Linked DNA regions of Drosophila melanogaster. The protein of the gene in region 2 interacts with the protein of the main gene of each other region in a biochemical or structural test. Each region holds a gene or a part of one and is shown on either strand. Other genes may lie near its edges. The genes, in order: htl, RasGAP1 and btl.

Region 1 (5,031 bases), on a different chromosome or scaffold from region 2:
TTGAGCCCATATGATACAATAAATACATTCAACTCAATTTCTTAATCTTAATCTACTAATCCCAAAATTTAATTGATTTCCCAAGTCACCTAGCAAAAGTTAATATATTGCTCTTCCTTATTTTCATTGACAGCTTCAATAGCCCATCTGTTTATCTATTGCAACTGAATAAGTCTAGCAGTTAACTTATTTTTTGGTTGTTTAATCCGCTGGTCGAAAGCGTTTCTCATTGGCATATTTCGCATATAATTGGCTATAAAAATTCATGTTAATGTGCAATTAATCATATTAGCAATTAACTTTATGCTGTTTGGCTGCTCTGCACGAGATCTCGACGAGCTGCGATCTGCGAGATGGCTGCAGATCGTGTCGCCCAACTCGAAGATCGTGTCTCCAAAAGCCTGTTACCGTTCCCGATTTTTCATTTCCCATTCGCAGATTCCCAGAGCCAAATGGCCAAAGGCTCGACCAACCAGACTTTGAGCCAATTTCCCAATATTTATTTCTATGCTCGAAACGCTAACAACTTGCGTTTCGTTCTGGCCAAATTGAAAAGCCATACGGAAGCTGAAGCTGCGATCGGCAGCCTCGAGGAGAAGCACTTTTGGGTAGCCAAGAGGAGCCCGGTTTGGAGCCAGGTTGGAGCCAGGAGGCTTGCCCAGGAGTGCATAAAATTTAAGTATTATGACCATACACACTGATCGGTGGCCGTCTTTAACCCGTGCTTTCCCCGGTCTCTCTGCGGCTTTACGAGGTTGTTAACTGTTGAAACTATGCTAACCACTCATGGGGATCCTCCCTCCCAATTCCGCCGTGGAGCATCAATTAATCAGTCAGGCGTAACGCCATTTGGCACTGAACGGGTCCCGTCGGCCACAATTGATGGTCAATAATCGTTAATTGTTTTCGATTTTCGGCCAAAATCCCCCCTGCGTCATTGTCCATTGTTTGGCTAACCCTTTTCGTTATTTTTGGTGTCTCCATAGAGACAAACGCTAAACGATGCCATTGTCTTTGGCGCACAGCGTGTGTGCTTTGATGGCCTTTTCACCACGAGTGTCATTCATTAGAGGGGCTTTCTTCCATCGCCACTTGGCTACTGGTTCTTATGTGTCTGTTGGCCATTTGACATTGGCTATAAGTAGCTCATAATTAATAACTGCTAACTTACTTAGCGAGCTATTGTGTTGGCTAATGAATCTCATTCCGCATTTTCCGCCTCAAACGAAGCGCAAAGAAATGCGCAAAGAATTTGTCAGTAGAATCTTAGGCCCTCATAGGCCATAAATCTTTTTAAAAAATAATAATAATTAAATTCAAGTGACTGATCTATTCTGACTAAGATAAGTTAGCTATTCTTTTTAATAAAGCATGATCCATCAAACCAATTATAACTACATAAATAATTGATCTGAATATAAGGAATCTTTTTGACAACTACCCATCTTCTTTGCACCCTCATAATGAAATTCATGAATTTCCTCGCTGCGCTCGAAACTATGCAACATATTGTGCGTTAGAATATCTTTGAGATATTCCATTCGACTCAATTGAACGAATTTTAGAACGAGTGCGGTCTGTGCACTCAATTACATTTCACTTTCCAAGGGAAGGCCGCCACTCAGCTACACACTTGTGTGTGTGTGTGTGTGGGTCCCCCATATATAGGGTATAGGGGCCCCTATACCATATAGTACCATACATACATATACCGCATACCCAACCCCTCGCTTTTTCGACCCTTCCTCTCTTTGGCTGCGGATTATACAATGTGTGGCTGGCGTTCCGTTCAATTTTGTGTGTTTTCTGTATTTGTTTACGCGCCTGCCGCAAAAATACATTGCAGAGATGTGTTCTCCAGCATGTTGAAGTTGATGGGGGAAATGTGAATTCGTTTCATTTGTTCCCTCATTTAATTGAAGAGATTTATTTCGCAGAGCTGGCTCGGTTCTGTTCGGTTCGCTTGCTTTTTTTTGACTCAGTTGCGATCGGACTGCGTGCCGTTACAGTAGGCGAAATCGGAGGAAAATCGTTGGAAAATCGGTTGGAAAATCGTTGGAAAATCGGTGAAAAATCGTCGAAAATTAGAGCGAACGATCGATCGATTGAACGCGTAATAACGCCATATAATATAATTATACTAATAATTATTAGTAATGCCTCTTGGTGAAAACGCACACATTTTGTGGATGGAAAGAAACAAAACAGAGTCAAGTGTGCAACGGTTTCTGGTTCTGTTTAAGTGCCTAAGTGCCATATAAATGCGTACTAAAACATTTCTGGAATTTTAAGTGGAAACATTCTCGAATTCTGTGAACTTTCCCAATTGTGTTTTTAGTGAAAGACTTACAATTTAGACGAAGGCAAGGAGAAATTCCAACGCAGAGACACTTTGGTGGATATTTGGCAAGAAGCTTTTTGGCATTTTTTTTTTTTTGTTCGTGGAGCAACGCACTTTGTGAGGTAAGTCTTTAAAAATACACACCGTGCATCGTTTAATTTAGTTTATTTTGTTTTTGGTTTTTTTTGCGTAGTTGCGCAAATCATTTGTTTGATCCACTTTTTGATTGACCGCGCACAGCAATTTGACTTTTTAACCCAAAGGCCAAAAAGTGTAAAATGTGCAGTGGTTCGGTTCCAAAGCAATTTGTGTCGTTTATCCCGCTGTGTGTGTGTGTAGTCAATCGTTCAATTATCTATTCTCTGGCTACCCCATAATAATACAGTGAATATGGACAGTTGTGGGCTCCCCATAGTATCTGTTTTTTTTATTTTTTATTTATTCCATTCGGTTCTGCTATGGTACATGCTCAAATTGAAAGCACTTTTCCACAGGGTTCCCATTCTAATTTATATTTATTTATTTGCTTTTACAAGCCAACCGATGCCCCAGAGCTCGGGAAAATATTTCAAACTCATAATTCTGTTATATTCCAACGCTCCCTTAGAATGGGATTTTGTTTATTAACCAACAGCATATAGCATATATCGTATCATCTAGAGTCTAGATTCTAGAATGTAGACGGTATAGGAACATGCAATATTTTCTAGCCGCGTAAACAAACATTTCAACTTGTCTGCTCTTTGTCCGACTTGCTCTATATCTGAGTGAGTATATAGCTAAAGATATAGCTATCTGTGTGTATATATATGTATATATATATATTTATCGGGTATCTGTTTTGTCGGTCGGTTAGCTTTACGATGCCATCTTCTAGGTGATTCGGCTTCTGTTTTGTTGCCTTTGGCAATCACTCAATTTGCTGGCCGACAACCGAAGACGCTTCTTACTTTTCGCCTCCCTTCTCTGCAATTTATTTATGAATGATAATTAAGGTTAGGTTTGTTTAGCTAATTGTGCGGCCAGTTCCCGGTATTGTTCCCATATCATCTCAGGTGGGATCCACGCAGACTTTCGGTATGATCCTTTGATCTTTATGATGTTAAAGTACAAATGTCACGAGAATATATGCTTGCTATATAATATTAAATGTTTTCATGAGAGTTTATCATAAAATCAGTGTTTACCAAATAAAGATTTCGATTTAGAAATAGATTTATGTCAACAATAAAGTAATAATGTTATTTTTTGGTATTATAATATATTATAGCTTAAGCTTATCAATGCTACAGCACTTTTATAATGGATTTTGTTGTCTAAATGTTTGTGAGTACTAATAAAATTTTAAAGCTCTAAATGGCAAATTTACAAATATATAAGTAAAGCTTGCAACAATTTAAGAATAGCACATATTTATTTCAACTAAATCTGTTGAACGTTCTTTATATAAATCGCTGCGTGCTTTATATTTCTGAAATGTAAATCGAATCAATAGTTCACTACTCATATACTTTGTGATAATTTAACGTAGCTTCGCGTTTTTGATAAAGTCGACTTGCCACAATCGACCTTTCGCTCCATCTGCTTCTTTTCGTTTACCCCATGGGATGCAACCTTCTCGCCGTCACGTACTGAATGGTATATACTAGATGAACGGGTGGGGATGGATGGATGGATGGATGGCTGGATGGGATTGGCATTGGGTGGCTGATGGCTGGTGGAACCTGCCGACGAACCGTGCGAAATAACAGACTCGTGCCGGTCTCGACTTGGTATCGGATACACTGAGCGGCAGCGGGGCAACCGCCAAGTGCGTCAATTGCGGGTCAACCCGTGCGATTGAAATGGATGCGCCAAGTGACCGGCGATTTCAATTCGATGGGAAATGTACATATACCGTGCAATGTTTGTATACTTTGCAAATACTTTCCGGAACGTGTTTGTTTATAAATCGGGCGATTTTGGACGGCACAGGAAATACATACATATACTAAAATTGCGCGCTCATTATCGATGGAGGTGAAGGTCGGAGGGTGGAGATAGAATACCAAACATATATACAATTTTTGGCAGTTTCCGATTTGGCGGATGCCTTCCTGGAAGTCAACATTTCGGATAACCCCATCATTTAGACGCTGGAGTCGCTACTTCCCCTCGAGAATCGACGACAATGTCTGTGCAACACATGTGGCACGATCTTAGGTAGACATACGTATATGTACATTCGTGTATGTTCGATGCTGATGATGTGCCCACATGTTGCAGTCAACAATAGAGCAACAAATGCAAGCCGAAACAATATTTGCCCTTGTCTCTGCTCTGACTCTGACTGTGGGCGTGGCGACGGGGGCGGGAGAACAGAGACAACTGAACACAGTAGTCTTCTCCGCCGGCCGTTATTTTTGTTGCTTTTAATTTCTTTAATTTTTTTTTGTCCGCCAGATGTGGGCTGAATGTTGAATGCGGACTGGAAAGATCAGACCCAGAACGCGGAGAGAAACTGTGTCTGTTTTAATTAAAGATGAGAGTAATACCCAGTGCAAACTGAGAGATACCGCCGATACTGAGATACAAAGCCAGACGGGGCTGGCATGTGTGGAAAATTAAGGCTGCCGTTGAAAGCGAAAAGATGCGGGACGCTAAAGGCAACGACCATCCAAACAGAACAGAACCGCAATGTGAATGAAAAA
Region 2 (4,899 bases):
TAAATGTTGTAAATTAGGGAGATCAAAAAACCCGGTCCAAATGGGTTTTTCATTCATAACGAAATAATAACGGAAGCTAGACAAATGACCAAAACACTTTTCCGGACATAAATATGAGAAAATATGGGAGGAGTGGGTTTATAAACAGGCCCAAAAACCTGAAACCGAAACTCGTAGACCCATTCATACGAATGGAAATGCCACAAAATACTATATTTATAACATCTGCGCCTAGCTTCGAATTTTGTGGGCGGGGCAAATGGAGGAGGAGGAGGAATCGAGTGGACAGCTGGAAACGGAAAAAAAGAAGAAAAGCCCTGTCTCCTCTTCTTCCCACGTCGGTTACGTTTCGTTGAGCGAAATGATCAACATATTCAAATGGTCGTTACGCACGCTACACAGAAAATAGCATTGTGAACGTTCTTAACAAATATTATGATACACTTTAAAAGCATATACTAAAGGGAAATGTTAATTTTCGATAAGTCTCTTTAAATTATTACAATTACTATAAACTATAACTGTGTTATAGTATTTACAATTATAATTTATTTTATATACAATTATTTTGCTCAGTGCAGTTGAAGTGACTAGATCAAATGCAGGGCATACGAAAACAATGAAACCCAGCCGAGCAACCATCCGAAATGTTGACCCGACCACTTCCACTTATTGGCGGCAGTTGTGATAAGATGCACCGCCTCACTTGTTGATCTCTCCCTGCCAGTTGTTGTTCTTGTTGTTGTTGTGATGCATGTGGTTTCCAAGGCAAGGAGCAGAAGCAACATATGCGTAAAGAAAAACATAAGCGGCGTTGCTGTCCGGATGCCGTGTGAATTTCACATTTCACTGCCTTGTTTCTGAATATTTGTGTACTTTTAATGTACATATGTGTGTACTATGTAGTTCCTCGGGTTCCTGTGGACTGTCTGCGATCCAGAACGCCCACGTAATGTGCGCTACGGTATAAACAGCCGGGCATTTGATTTTTACTTACTTTGCTAAGCATAACTAGCTATTGATACATGGTTATTGGAATAGATATGAATCTTAAACTGGTTGAATTTAAAAATAAACATTGCTTTCTGATATAATTCCTTAACGATCGATCATAAACAAAACAGGGTTTTTTATTGCTTTGTACCGCCCTTCTTAAGTCGCATATGCCTCGACTTTCTCTGCCGGCGATCTTCGGTTGTTTCCGCTGTTGGTGGCGCCGGTGCAACATGTGTGTGTGTTTAAGTGTAGGTGACCGCTGCTGCGTGTGTGCGTTTTCATTCACAAAATTTTTGGGAGGTGCATGTGTACACTTGCCGCTTGGAAATTTTAATTCAGTTCCATTTCGGCCGACCTGCAACACGTTCGTAATTCGGAGTGTGTTTCAAAGTTAAGCAACTAAAAACCAATCGGAATTAATAAAAACATCAATTAAACCTCAAGTTAAAATAAAAAAAACCAAAAATTCAGTGTTTAATAATAATCAATTTTAAATAAATTACAAAATATATAACTGTTTGTTGGAGCTAACGATATATATTCGATAGCCAGAACTGGTGAAATATCGAAATTAAACTTAAACATTTTTAATGAAAACCTTACTGTTGTGCTTAACTTAATAAGCATAAGCCGTTGTTGAATAAAATAAAAAAATTATTTTAAAACATATCTGCTTCAAACAAATTATTAAGCAAACATTAATCATTTGCGTTTCCCGTGGTATTTTCGGGGCACCGTGCTAAGGTCACACTAATTCGTTGGAGTCATACAACCGTCTCGCTACGGTCACTCTAGTTCTGATTCCGCTTCGAAAGGTTGTTCGCGGATGCGTGTAAACCCGCAAAGCAAATAAACTCGGAGAACCAAGTTTTTGCGATTCTGATTCAAGCAACCGAATTACTTTCCATACTTCGATAATATAATCCCACGTCTGCTAGTGCGTGCAAAAAACAGTTTGTAGTTAAAACGAAATACTAAAATCAGTCGAGCCCTGAAGCAACAGGGAAAGTGCATTTCGTGAGCGGCAAATCGACTCATATTCCCGTCACACCAGCTCAATGCACAATGCAACGCTGCAGCGAGTGATGAAATTCAAATGCAAATAGCCGGCTAATAAACCTGTTAAAGAAAAACAAATAATTTCGAGTTATTAAAGTTTCGTGAAGATCGAGTGAAGGAGTTAGATAAATTTCCAATCGCGTGTTGCAAGTTCCCCAGTGGGTAGCTGACAAAAAGCTGGCTGCTTTAAGCGCACAATGCTGCTGAAGAAGAAGCGCTATATGTTCGACGAGCGAGACGACAATAATATTAACTCGCCCGTCGCCGTCGAGCCAAGCAGCAACAACAACAAAATGGCCGATACACGCGAAGTGCGCATTGAAGAGCAATTAAAAGTGAAAATTGGTATGTAAATCGAGTGCGAAATCGTTCAAAAACATCAAAAATATGTCGAAGAACATGCGTGGCATGAACGTTGAGTGAAATACGCGCAGCAACGTGCGTTTTTTATGTTCCAAAGTGTGCTGGAATTTTGACAGCGTCGCCGTTTGCCCCGCGGAGCCTCTTCCAAGCAGAAAACAACATAGAATCGGGAGAATATGTCTAAAAGTTTTCCAAAATGTTGTGTAATCTAATGGCAAACCGAAATTTGTGCGAGTTGAGGCAAAGAAAGTCGATTAATTGAGAAAACAAATGTGTTTTTGTTCTAGAAATGCATATTGCGTTCAAGTGTATAAGCATGCTGTCCCGCTCTGACTCGCGTGTTGCTCTGTGCGTGTGTGTTTCTGTTGCCTTTTTCCCTGTGTGTGTGTGTTTTTTTTTCGTGCAGCAGCAGTGCAATACATTTGTTGTTGCTGCCGTTTGAGAAGTAATGGATGACCAGGCTGAATGTTACGGCATTCGCTTCTTGACCCACCCCCAGAACCGCTCTTCCTCCTTCATCGCCCAGCACACCCCCCGCAGTTTTGAATGCGCCCCTTTTTGTGAATGAATCGGAAATCAAGCATGTGTCTGTGAGACGCTCCAGCGCATGCTCACACACACGCGACAAACGCACACACACAAGCGGCAGAGAGATCCCAGCAACAATGTGTGGGTTTTTTTATGAATGGAATTTTCGAATTCGGTGTACTTTTCTCAATACGAAGGTGTCTGTTTTATGAATGATTATCAAAAGCAACAAGCGAAAAGAGCATCGATTAATGGCCTACTATATATTGGCAAGAGGTCAAATGAATGAATGACGCTCTCTCACTTTTCCTCTCCATTCTGCCATCCACTTCATTCTGAAGCGAGAGCGAAGCAGACTGCAAGAGATAGACGAAAAATAAACTTGCGGTTGTTTTTTGGTGGTTTTACATTTCCTGTTGAAACATAAAAAGTAAAACAGAATTATGAATAACCACTGGCTGTGTGTACTGTGCGGGGAGGGGGGGGGGGGGTTCAAAAGTTCCCGTGATCTCATTTTCACACCTGCACACGCATTTATTTTTACCTCTTCTGCTTCTCACATTTTCAATCTCGCAACTCATAAGCAGCTTTTGCTATGCTTTTTCAACATAAATTATATGCAAAGCTGCAACAACATTGTTGCCTTGCCGCTTTTGATTTCCGTTTCCCAGCGCCCAGAGTTTCCCTTCGTGTGTTGCGGTTTTGTGTTCTTTTTCTCCGGCCATAAAACTCTTGCTTTTTTCAGTTGCTCTTCTTTTTTTCCGTGTCTTCCCCTCTTCAACTGCTTTTTGCACGCTTCAATTGTTTTCGCATGCGCCTCTGTCTTTGTCGGGATCTTCTCTTCGCACCCTCCTCTCCTCTCGACACTTCCTTTTGCCACATTCCCTTCTTTCTCCAGCTGCTTTAACCCTTTTGGGTTCTGCGAAGAAGATGGCACAATATTGGTTAAAAATGAATTAAAACACGTTTCTGCGCTGATTGAAGAACGAAAGTTATGCACTTCCTTCGATTATCGGGTTGTTATGGCAAATTAGCTGTCACCTTTTTACCTCCATTTCATTCGTTCGCCTTTGTGGTTCATGTTTACCCTCTTTACCTGCAAAAATTCCGTTAAGGATCGACCACAGCTTCCCAAGATACATATCTGATCTCATTAAAAATCCTGAGTAGTTATTACACAACACCATATCTAAAGGAATTGCCATTCAAAAATGCCTCTAAAATGTTAAAAAATGCTGTGTTATGGATCGGGAATACCTATCGAGCAGGAAATTTAACCATATTCTCTAGTTTTATAGAAGTATTATTGGGAACTCACTATTATTTATTTATAGTTTTCCCTCTTAAAAACTCTACTAAAGATATAGAAATGCGATTTCAAACGGCTCACGATCACGTTTTCTAATGATTGAAGAATGAAAGTTATTCATTTCCCATAATCATCATTGATTATCGCATCATTATAGCACATTAGCTGCTGTGTCACCTCTATTGCCCATCAACAGTCAGCTTCTTTCCCATCCGCTTTATAACGTGATATATGTACGTATTTATATATCGTTATAAGCGCTATACATATCTATGTATGTATATGTATGTACACCCTGCATTCTTCTCCCAAGTATCATATTTCCACTTCATTATGCTTTGCATGCTTAATAATAATACTTCCACATCGTGCTCAGTTTCAATTACACACGGAGTTTCGCTTTTGTTGCTATTGTTGTGGGGGCTTTCCATTTCCATTTTGTTGCTCGTTGCGATTTCTACACGAAACGTCCGTCCAAAATTGGCGTAATACTTTTCCACTTAATTAAAATGTTTAGCGCATAACCTAAATTTCATTTAGAATGATAACGAGGGTGTGACTCACTATCGATCTCCCTTTGAATATCAATGACATTTTAACTGAGGAATTATTACTCACTATTCGCCGCGGACCACACGCAATAC
Region 3 (7,775 bases), 4.2 Mb from region 2:
TTGTGCTAGAAAACTTGGATGTACTGGCCCACGCTGCTGGAGAGCAGTCCAGTCAGGATGGAGAGTACTACAATCGCATGGCGGATACTGTGTATCAGTTGATTGTTCAGTATACCACCAACAACGCTATTGCAGTAATCGCCACCGTCAACGAGTTGCAGACCCTCAATAAGCGATTGAGCTCACCAAGGGGAAGACATGTCTTCCAGACTGTTGCTCGTCTGCCCAATTTGGAACGAGCAGATCGAGAGATAATTCTTCGAGAGCTGTGCAGCCATATCAATGTGGCCAAGGACCTGGATCTTGTTAAGTTCTCCAACCTCACGGAGGGCTACCGGAAATGTGATCTTGTTCAGTTCGTGGAGCGTGCAATATTTTATGCTTATCGCATAAGTGAGTAGTTTGTAGTGTTAGTAAGCAACTTTATCATGTTAAATTCCCTTTTTTCCAGGCAAGACCCAGCCTCTTCTGACCAATGATCAGCTTATTGAGTCCCTGGAGCACACAAACTCGTACTGCCTGCAGGGCATTCAGAGCAATCAAAGAACTGGCAATGATGCCGATGCCAATGAAATGCGCGTCGAGGAGTTGCCTGGCCTGGAGTCAGTTGTGGGAGTTCTGGAGGAGGTCCTTATGTGGCCATCAAGGGTGAGTTTTAAACGAAATATATGTTTTTTTCTAAAATTTAATAAATCATTAATTTCTTACAGTATCCAACCATTTTTAACGCCTCTCCACTGCGCAACCAGGCCGGAGTACTTCTATATGGGCCACCAGGAACAGGTAAAACCTATCTGGTCTCTCAGTTGGCCACATCGTGGAACCTGCGCATCATTTCCGTCAAGGGTCCTGAGTTGCTCGCCAAATATATTGGTCAAAGCGAGGAAAATGTTCGAAACCTGTTCAATCGAGCTCGCAGTGCCCGACCATGTGTGCTTTTCTTCGACGAGTTTGACAGCTTGGCGCCGAAACGTGGTCACGATTCCACGGGGGTCACCGATCGAGTGGTAAATCAGTTGCTCACAGAACTGGATGGCGTTGAAGGACTGCAGGGAGTTACCGTGATAGCAGCTACCTCCAGACCGGAACTGCTAGATCCCGCGCTTCTTCGATCCGGTCGCATTGATCGCTTGGTGGAGTGTCCTTTGCCGGATGCTCCGGCCAGAGTACGTATATTTGAAGCACTCAGTTCAACACTGAGCCTTGATGAGTGCGTGGACTTCGATTGGTTTGCGGGAAAAACTGCAAACTACACTGGCGCCGATATCCAGAGCATCCTGACCTCGGCGAACATGGCGGCGGTTAAGGAGGCGCTAGCTCAATTCGGACACGAGGTGAGCTGGGAATTATTTTCACCGGAAACAATCTGCTTTATGGGTCATGCAAGCTTTCAACCGTTTCTTTCATGTTTTATTGTTTCTCATCCTGATTTCAAATGTAACTTCTATGTAAAAACTCCTTTACGTGTTTGTCTTTTAAATCAAAAGTGAAATCTATGCTACTTCCTGCAACAATGATTAGTCACGTAGTTCTTAGTCTCTGGCCACAGTATAAAATACCATTTGTTTCTTATTGCTTTCCCAGAAACTGGCAAAGAAAATTTCCTTGAAGCAGAAGCACCTGATTGAGTCGTTCCAAACCACTCGTCCTTCGCTCAGCGCCTCCGATGTGGCCAAATATCACAGAACGTACGTAACAATGTCTTCTTTGTTCTTCTGTTCTTCTTACCTTTTTAATTATCTCTTGGTAGGTATGCTCGCTTTACCAACAAGGAGAAGACTTCTAGGGAGTTTGTAGCCAAGCGTGCGACCTTGGCTTAAAGACAAAGACTTATAAGCTTAGCATTATTATTATTTTAAATTGTTTTTTGCATATTTGTACATCTGGAAAATGGAACATTTTGTTGGAAGACGCAAGTCTTAGGTAGTACATATTTCATAATTTTTCTTGTTGAAAAATAAAAACCAAATTTCTTTTATGATTACTTCGTATAAATCCATATACCACTCCGGAGTGTTAAATTGAAAGAATATTATATTTTAATTATAATGTACATACATGTATAAAAAAGAGAAAGAGATGTTCAAATTTAAGAACTAATATCTTTTCGCATTCTGACCTCGGTAAACATGAGTGCTGTTAAGGGGTGGCTCCTTAACAAATGAAGACATCAGGTGAGTTTGGTTATTAATTCACCGGAAATTGTGTTTAGCTATAACAAGTTTTTGATAGCTAGTTTGGATAGTATGTCCCTCCTTTTCGTATTTCCCAACTGTTTCGCATTTGTTCCCATAGCCCCTAACAAGTGCATCAAAAATGCATTTAACTATTTTTGGGTAGATTACGTGCCCGGCATCTGGATCTGGATTTTGGCCTATGCGGGAGCTAGCTGCTGCCATGCCACATGCAGCAACTGAGATTTTTGGATATCAGTCACGTAACGGATATTTCCTTATTGATATGCGATTACCGCGCATGCGCACGTACTGCACACCACTAAGACAATGGACACATTTTCTTTTGCATAAATTAAGCCGCCAAGCAAACAAACAGGGAGGGAACCCGAAGGCCAGATAATAAAGAATTTCAACGAGTCGAAGCCACCGCAAACATGCTTAGAATAAAACCAACAAGAACCTAGCAGAAGCAGCAGCAGCAAACCAGCAATAAAAAGAAAGGAAACCGCTCAGGAAAACTACCAGCGAAAACAATTGCAACATGCGGGAGGGAGACCACCTCGATCAGGTAGCCGTCCGAACCCATACCATCCCATCCGAAGACCCTGTGCCCAGGATCCTAGCAAACATTATCGCAGGGAACCACAGATATCCACTCGTTTCGTATCGTATTGGATCGTATTGGATCGGTTCGGTTCGATCGGCACGTTCGGATCGTTCGTATCGTACCGCGTAAAAGTTTCTTCCGTTTCGATCGTTACTTTCAGTTGTTTGCGCACATTCAAGCCAATCGGTTGGCTCCTTCCACAAACTTTACGGATTACGGTTAGTGCAACGGAAGTGAACCCCCCCCCCCCCCCCCCGCCCAACACCAGCTACCCATCACATATTTCTTTTCATTTATGCCTGGTAAAGGGAAATAAAAGTTGGCAACGAAGCGGAAATGCAAGGCGCCTTCCGCTGCCCTCTTGCCGAGTCTTAAGATTTTTATACAAGCCCCAACCGCGATTGACAGCCGAATAAACATAGTGACAATGTTTTTTGCAATCTTATTTGCCTTCTCCGGCTCCTCGAAAATAAAAGACAAAGAACGTGATTTTTTTGGTCAAAGATTTGGGGTTGTGGCATGGCAGAAAAGAATTGTGTTCCCACTGCGAACTGACAAGCAGCAGTGAAACCAAAATAAAGCAAAAAATAATTTAAGAGTGAATTGTTCCAGCAGTAAAATAAATACAAATCTTTCCAAGTGCAGCCAAAAGATCATAAACCACAGATAAATAAAAACAAAAAGTCTGCAAAGTAACCAAATGTTAAAAATAAAATTTTAATTGAGACAAAGAAACGTGATAAAACTGATTCATACATAATTAAATAAACACCAATGAAATAAATAAGAAAATAAAATTAAAGTGATGTCAATTGTATGAATGAATAATTTATGTCTTGATCCAAACATTCCTTTTACATTAAGTCAATGTTTGCAGAAAGAAAACTGAATGGGGAGTTAATACCCAGGGTTCCAAATAAAGAACTTATTCTATTCTCGATATAGCTGATTGACCAAGTTGAAATATCAAATCGTTCATGCATTAGATTTATACGCTCGATAATAATTCACAAGATAAAAAGGTGTGAGCTAAACGGTTTTGGCCATGTGCGCTTGTGGCTTAAAATCGAATCGAATAATATTGAATGAATGACAAACTGAGAAAAAAATTAAATAAAAATAGCAATAATACATACTTCAAATACAGCGATCGACTCGTATTTGGCAACAAATGAGAAAAAAAGGAATTGAATAAATTAAAACCTGCGACGCGTGTGCATACATACATAAATCGGGCCTGAAGTCAAACGGCTAGCGGCTAGCGGCAATATCGGCTAAAACAACAACAACAATTACTGGCAGCACTAGCACCATATTAACAACAACAATGACAATCGCAACGGTTGTCCCAAGCCTTACAAACAATAAAATACTTTTCATTAAACAGCACAGTGGTCAAAACGATTTTATAAAAGTTAAAAATATTTTAATTTTCTGATAGAAAAAATAGTCGAACTATGCTATGCCCCCATTATTATCAATATTTTCTAAACTTCGTTTAAAACTTTACATTTTGTACAAAGCTTACATTCGCAGACAACAAGTTTGGGAATTTACCCTATCATCATTAATCATTGAACTAAAAATTGTTTATTTTTATTTGGCAAACATTTGACGAACCCAAGTAGATGGAATACCCACTGTCCTATACCCTTTACGTGATTATACTAAAAATTAATTTTGAAATAATTATCTGCTATTAGGATTTTCGAGCAGTGTTATTCAGTGTTTAAAGCATAACTTTATTATAAATATACCTTTTAATTGATTAAAATGCTGAGCTCATATTGCACAGAGAATTTGAATGTTAATTAGTTGCTATTTCAGATTGTGGCAAATCATTTAGGTATTTCTCGATTTGTTGTTGCAATTCTCTAGCACCTTGTCTGTTTGTTTTGTAAGTGCAAGTATAGTACTTGGGGAATAACTGAAAAGTGTGACACCACTGTAACAACTGATTTCAACAAATAGCTAAGTGATTTTCTAACTGTTCGGCATTTAGTTGAATGGAAATCGAGGAGCGCAGGCCGCAGCAACAAAAGCATTTGGCGAACGTCGAATATAGACAAGTTATAATGGAGATCCCCTTCGGTAGTGGGTGGCGACGAGTGTGTCCGGCAATTCGGTGGCTTCGACCACGTCTTCCAGCTCATTACGAAGGCAGGGCACACAGTTTTCGTTTGTTTCAGTTGCTTCTCCTTTGGATTTTTGCATATCGGTGCGGACAGACTTGACTTGGCTGTGTGCCGTGTTGGCAATAAAATATTAAACAATAATAATAAATAAATAAAATGACACAGATCGGGAACTAAGGGAGGGGCAAAAAGTGAAGCGGAGATTTGGCAATATTTATTGATCCACTTATACAGCTGCGGTCAAAAGAATAGTGGCACAATAGTGGTATTCAAGTAACGAATAGCTAATAATATTTGCATTCATAACTTCTTAAATTTAGTTAAATTAAACAAAATTCCAAAGTGTTATTTTTAAAGTATAATATATCAATCAATGCCATGTAATTCATATATTTAATCCTTTCCTTTAGCTGGAGAACGCTCGATTTGAAATCGAGGAACTCGAATGAAGATACCCACAGGAAGTGATATTATTTCGACCGCAACTGTAACCCATATGTACACGATCGTGCCCATCCAGATACGAGATCTTGGTGGCTGTTGAACTCAAGAGAATCCACTTGAATCATGGCAAAAGTGCCGATCACGCTGGTGATGATCATTGCGATCGTCTCTGCCGCTGCGGACCTGGGATGCGATTATGGCCATCATCGTTGCTACATCGATGTGACTGTGGAAAACAGTCCCCGCCAGCGCCATCTGCTCTCCGACATGGACATCACGCTGCAGTGCGTCCGACCCATGGCCAAATGGTTCTATGAGGATAAGTTTCAACTGAGGGCTACCCTTTTGCGACTTGAACGAGCACAGTCCGGAAATTCTGGAAACTACGGCTGCCTGGATAGTCAGAACAGATGGTACAATATTTCCCTTGTTGTTGGCCATAAGGAACCAGTTGGCAATGATATCGCCAGCTTTGTCAAGTTGGAAGATGCACCGGCCCTCCCGGAGTCAGATCTCTTTTTTCAGCCCCTGAATGAGAGTCGATCCCTGAAGTTGCTGCAACCCCTACCCAAAACCGTACAACGGACCGCAGGTGGCCTTTTTCAGTTGAACTGCAGTCCCATGGATCCGGATGCAAAGGGTGTTAATATATCCTGGCTGCACAATGATACTCAAATCCTTGGTGGACGTGGACGCATTAAGCTTAAAAGGTGGTCATTAACAGTGGGGCAACTGCAGCCGGAGGATGCTGGAAGCTATCACTGTGAGCTGTGCGTGGAACAGGACTGCCAAAGGAGTAATCCGACCCAATTGGAGGTGATAAGCAGAAAGCACACGGTGCCCATGCTAAAGCCCGGATATCCCCGCAATACCAGCATTGCCCTCGGGGACAATGTGAGCATTGAATGCCTACTTGAGGACTCTGCCCTGGAGCCGAAGATCACGTGGCTACATAAGGGGAATGCGGACAACATCGATGACCTCTTGCAGCGTTTAAGAGAGCAGTCCCAGCTACCTGTGGATGTTACCCGATTGATTACCCGAATGGATGAACCGCAGGTACTTCGTCTTGGAAATGTCCTGATGGAGGATGGCGGATGGTACATATGCATAGCCGAGAACCAGGTTGGACGCACTGTGGCCGCCTCCTATGTGGATCTTTACAGTCCCTCAGATACTACCACAGTTCGCACGACCACTACTACCACCGTGGCCAGCCCAATACCCACTGCATCCACCGGAGAGGACAACGATGACGACGTGGAAAATCCAGCAGCGGAAGCATCAGGCGGCGTTGGTCCACCTGTGTTCAGAAAAGAGCTGAAACGATTACAGCACTCATTATCGGGAAATACTGTCAATCTAGCCTGTCCAGTGTACGGCAAAGCGAACATCACCTGGACGAAGGACAAGAAGCCGCTAAACCGTGAACTCGGCGTCTATGTGCAAAAGAACTGGACACTCCGCTTCGTGGAGGCCACCAGCGAGGATTCTGGACTATACAACTGTAAGGTGTGCAATGCGTGGGGCTGCATCCAGTTTGACTTCAGTGTCCAAATAAACGATCGCACGAGATCCGCACCAATAATCGTGGTGCCGCAAAATCAGACGGTGAAAGTCAATGGCAGCTTGGTGATGAAGTGCACCGTCTACTCTGATCTGCATCCAACAGTCAGCTGGAAAAGGGTTGTCCTCAAGAATGCCTCCTTGGACGGCCTTAAGTCTGTGGAAATCCAGAATCTCAACTTCACCGTGACGAATGACTCCGTAGTTTTAACGCTTCGTAATGTGACCTTTGACCAGGAGGGCTGGTACACCTGTTTGGCCTCAAGTGGTCTGGGAAGGAGTAACTCCAGTGTGTACCTTAGGGTAGTGAGTCCTCTGCCACCTTTGGAGATCTACGCCCTGCTGCACGCCCATCCTCTCGGATTCACCTTGGCCGCTATTACGATAGTGGCTTTGTTCCTTTTGGGCAGTGCTTTCATAACGTTCATGCTGCGTCGGCTGAGGAGGGAGAAGCTCCTGAAGCTCCGCATCGAAACGGTTCATCAGTGGACTAAAAAGGTGATCATATACCGACCGGGTGGAGAAGAAGGAAGTGGCTGCAGCTCCGGCGATCTTCAGATGCCAGTGATAAGGATCGAGAAGCAGAGAACAACCGTTTCCACAACGGGAACTGGCGGTACTGATCCCGCCCAGGGCTTTAATGAGTATGAGTTCCCGCTGGACTCAAACTGGGAGATTCCCAGGCAGCAGCTTAGCTTGGGCTCCATTTTGGGTGAGGGCGCCTTTGGACGCGTAGTGATGGCGGAGGCGGAGGGGCTTCCCAGGAGTCCACAACTGGCCGAAACCATCGTGGCCGTCAAGATGGTCAAGGAGGAGCACACGGATACGGACATGGCCAGTTTGGTG

Evidence for each region.
Region 1: the proteins of RasGAP1 (region 2) and htl form a complex in vitro, tested with the Drosophila melanogaster proteins (one study listed by BioGRID).
Region 3: the proteins of RasGAP1 (region 2) and btl form a complex in vitro, tested with the Drosophila melanogaster proteins (one study listed by BioGRID).

What each region holds. Positions count from the first base shown.
Region 1 is NT_033777.3:18,049,934-18,054,964, reverse strand, and holds the start of htl (heartless), read left to right. Parts: upstream 1-1,980; 5' UTR 1,981-2,463; intron 2,464-5,031. UniProt on the Drosophila melanogaster protein: May be required for patterning of muscle precursor cells. May be essential for generation of mesodermal and endodermal layers, invaginations of various types of cells and CNS formation.
Region 2 is NT_037436.4:9,852,166-9,857,064, reverse strand, and holds the start of RasGAP1 (Ras GTPase activating protein 1), read left to right. Parts: upstream 1-1,779; 5' UTR 1,780-2,252; coding exon 2,253-2,400; intron 2,401-4,899. UniProt on the Drosophila melanogaster protein: Inhibitory regulator of the Ras-cyclic AMP pathway. May function as a negative regulator of Ras85D/Ras1 in the sev signaling pathway. Acts cell autonomously in cone cell precursors as a negative regulator of R7 photoreceptor cell determination.
Region 3 is NT_037436.4:14,074,126-14,081,900, forward strand, and holds the start of btl (breathless), read left to right. Parts: upstream 1-1,688; intron 1,689-1,750; coding exon of another isoform or gene 1,751-1,820; 5' UTR 1,821-1,923; exon of another isoform or gene 1,924-1,998; intron 1,999-2,939; exon of another isoform or gene 2,940-3,002; intron 3,003-5,329; 5' UTR 5,330-5,486; coding exon 5,487-7,775. Other genes in the region: Pex1 (peroxin 1), read left to right, coding at 1-393, 452-648, 711-1,334, 1,585-1,688, 1,751-1,820. UniProt on the Drosophila melanogaster protein: May be required for patterning of muscle precursor cells: generation of mesodermal and endodermal layers, invaginations of various types of cells, and CNS formation.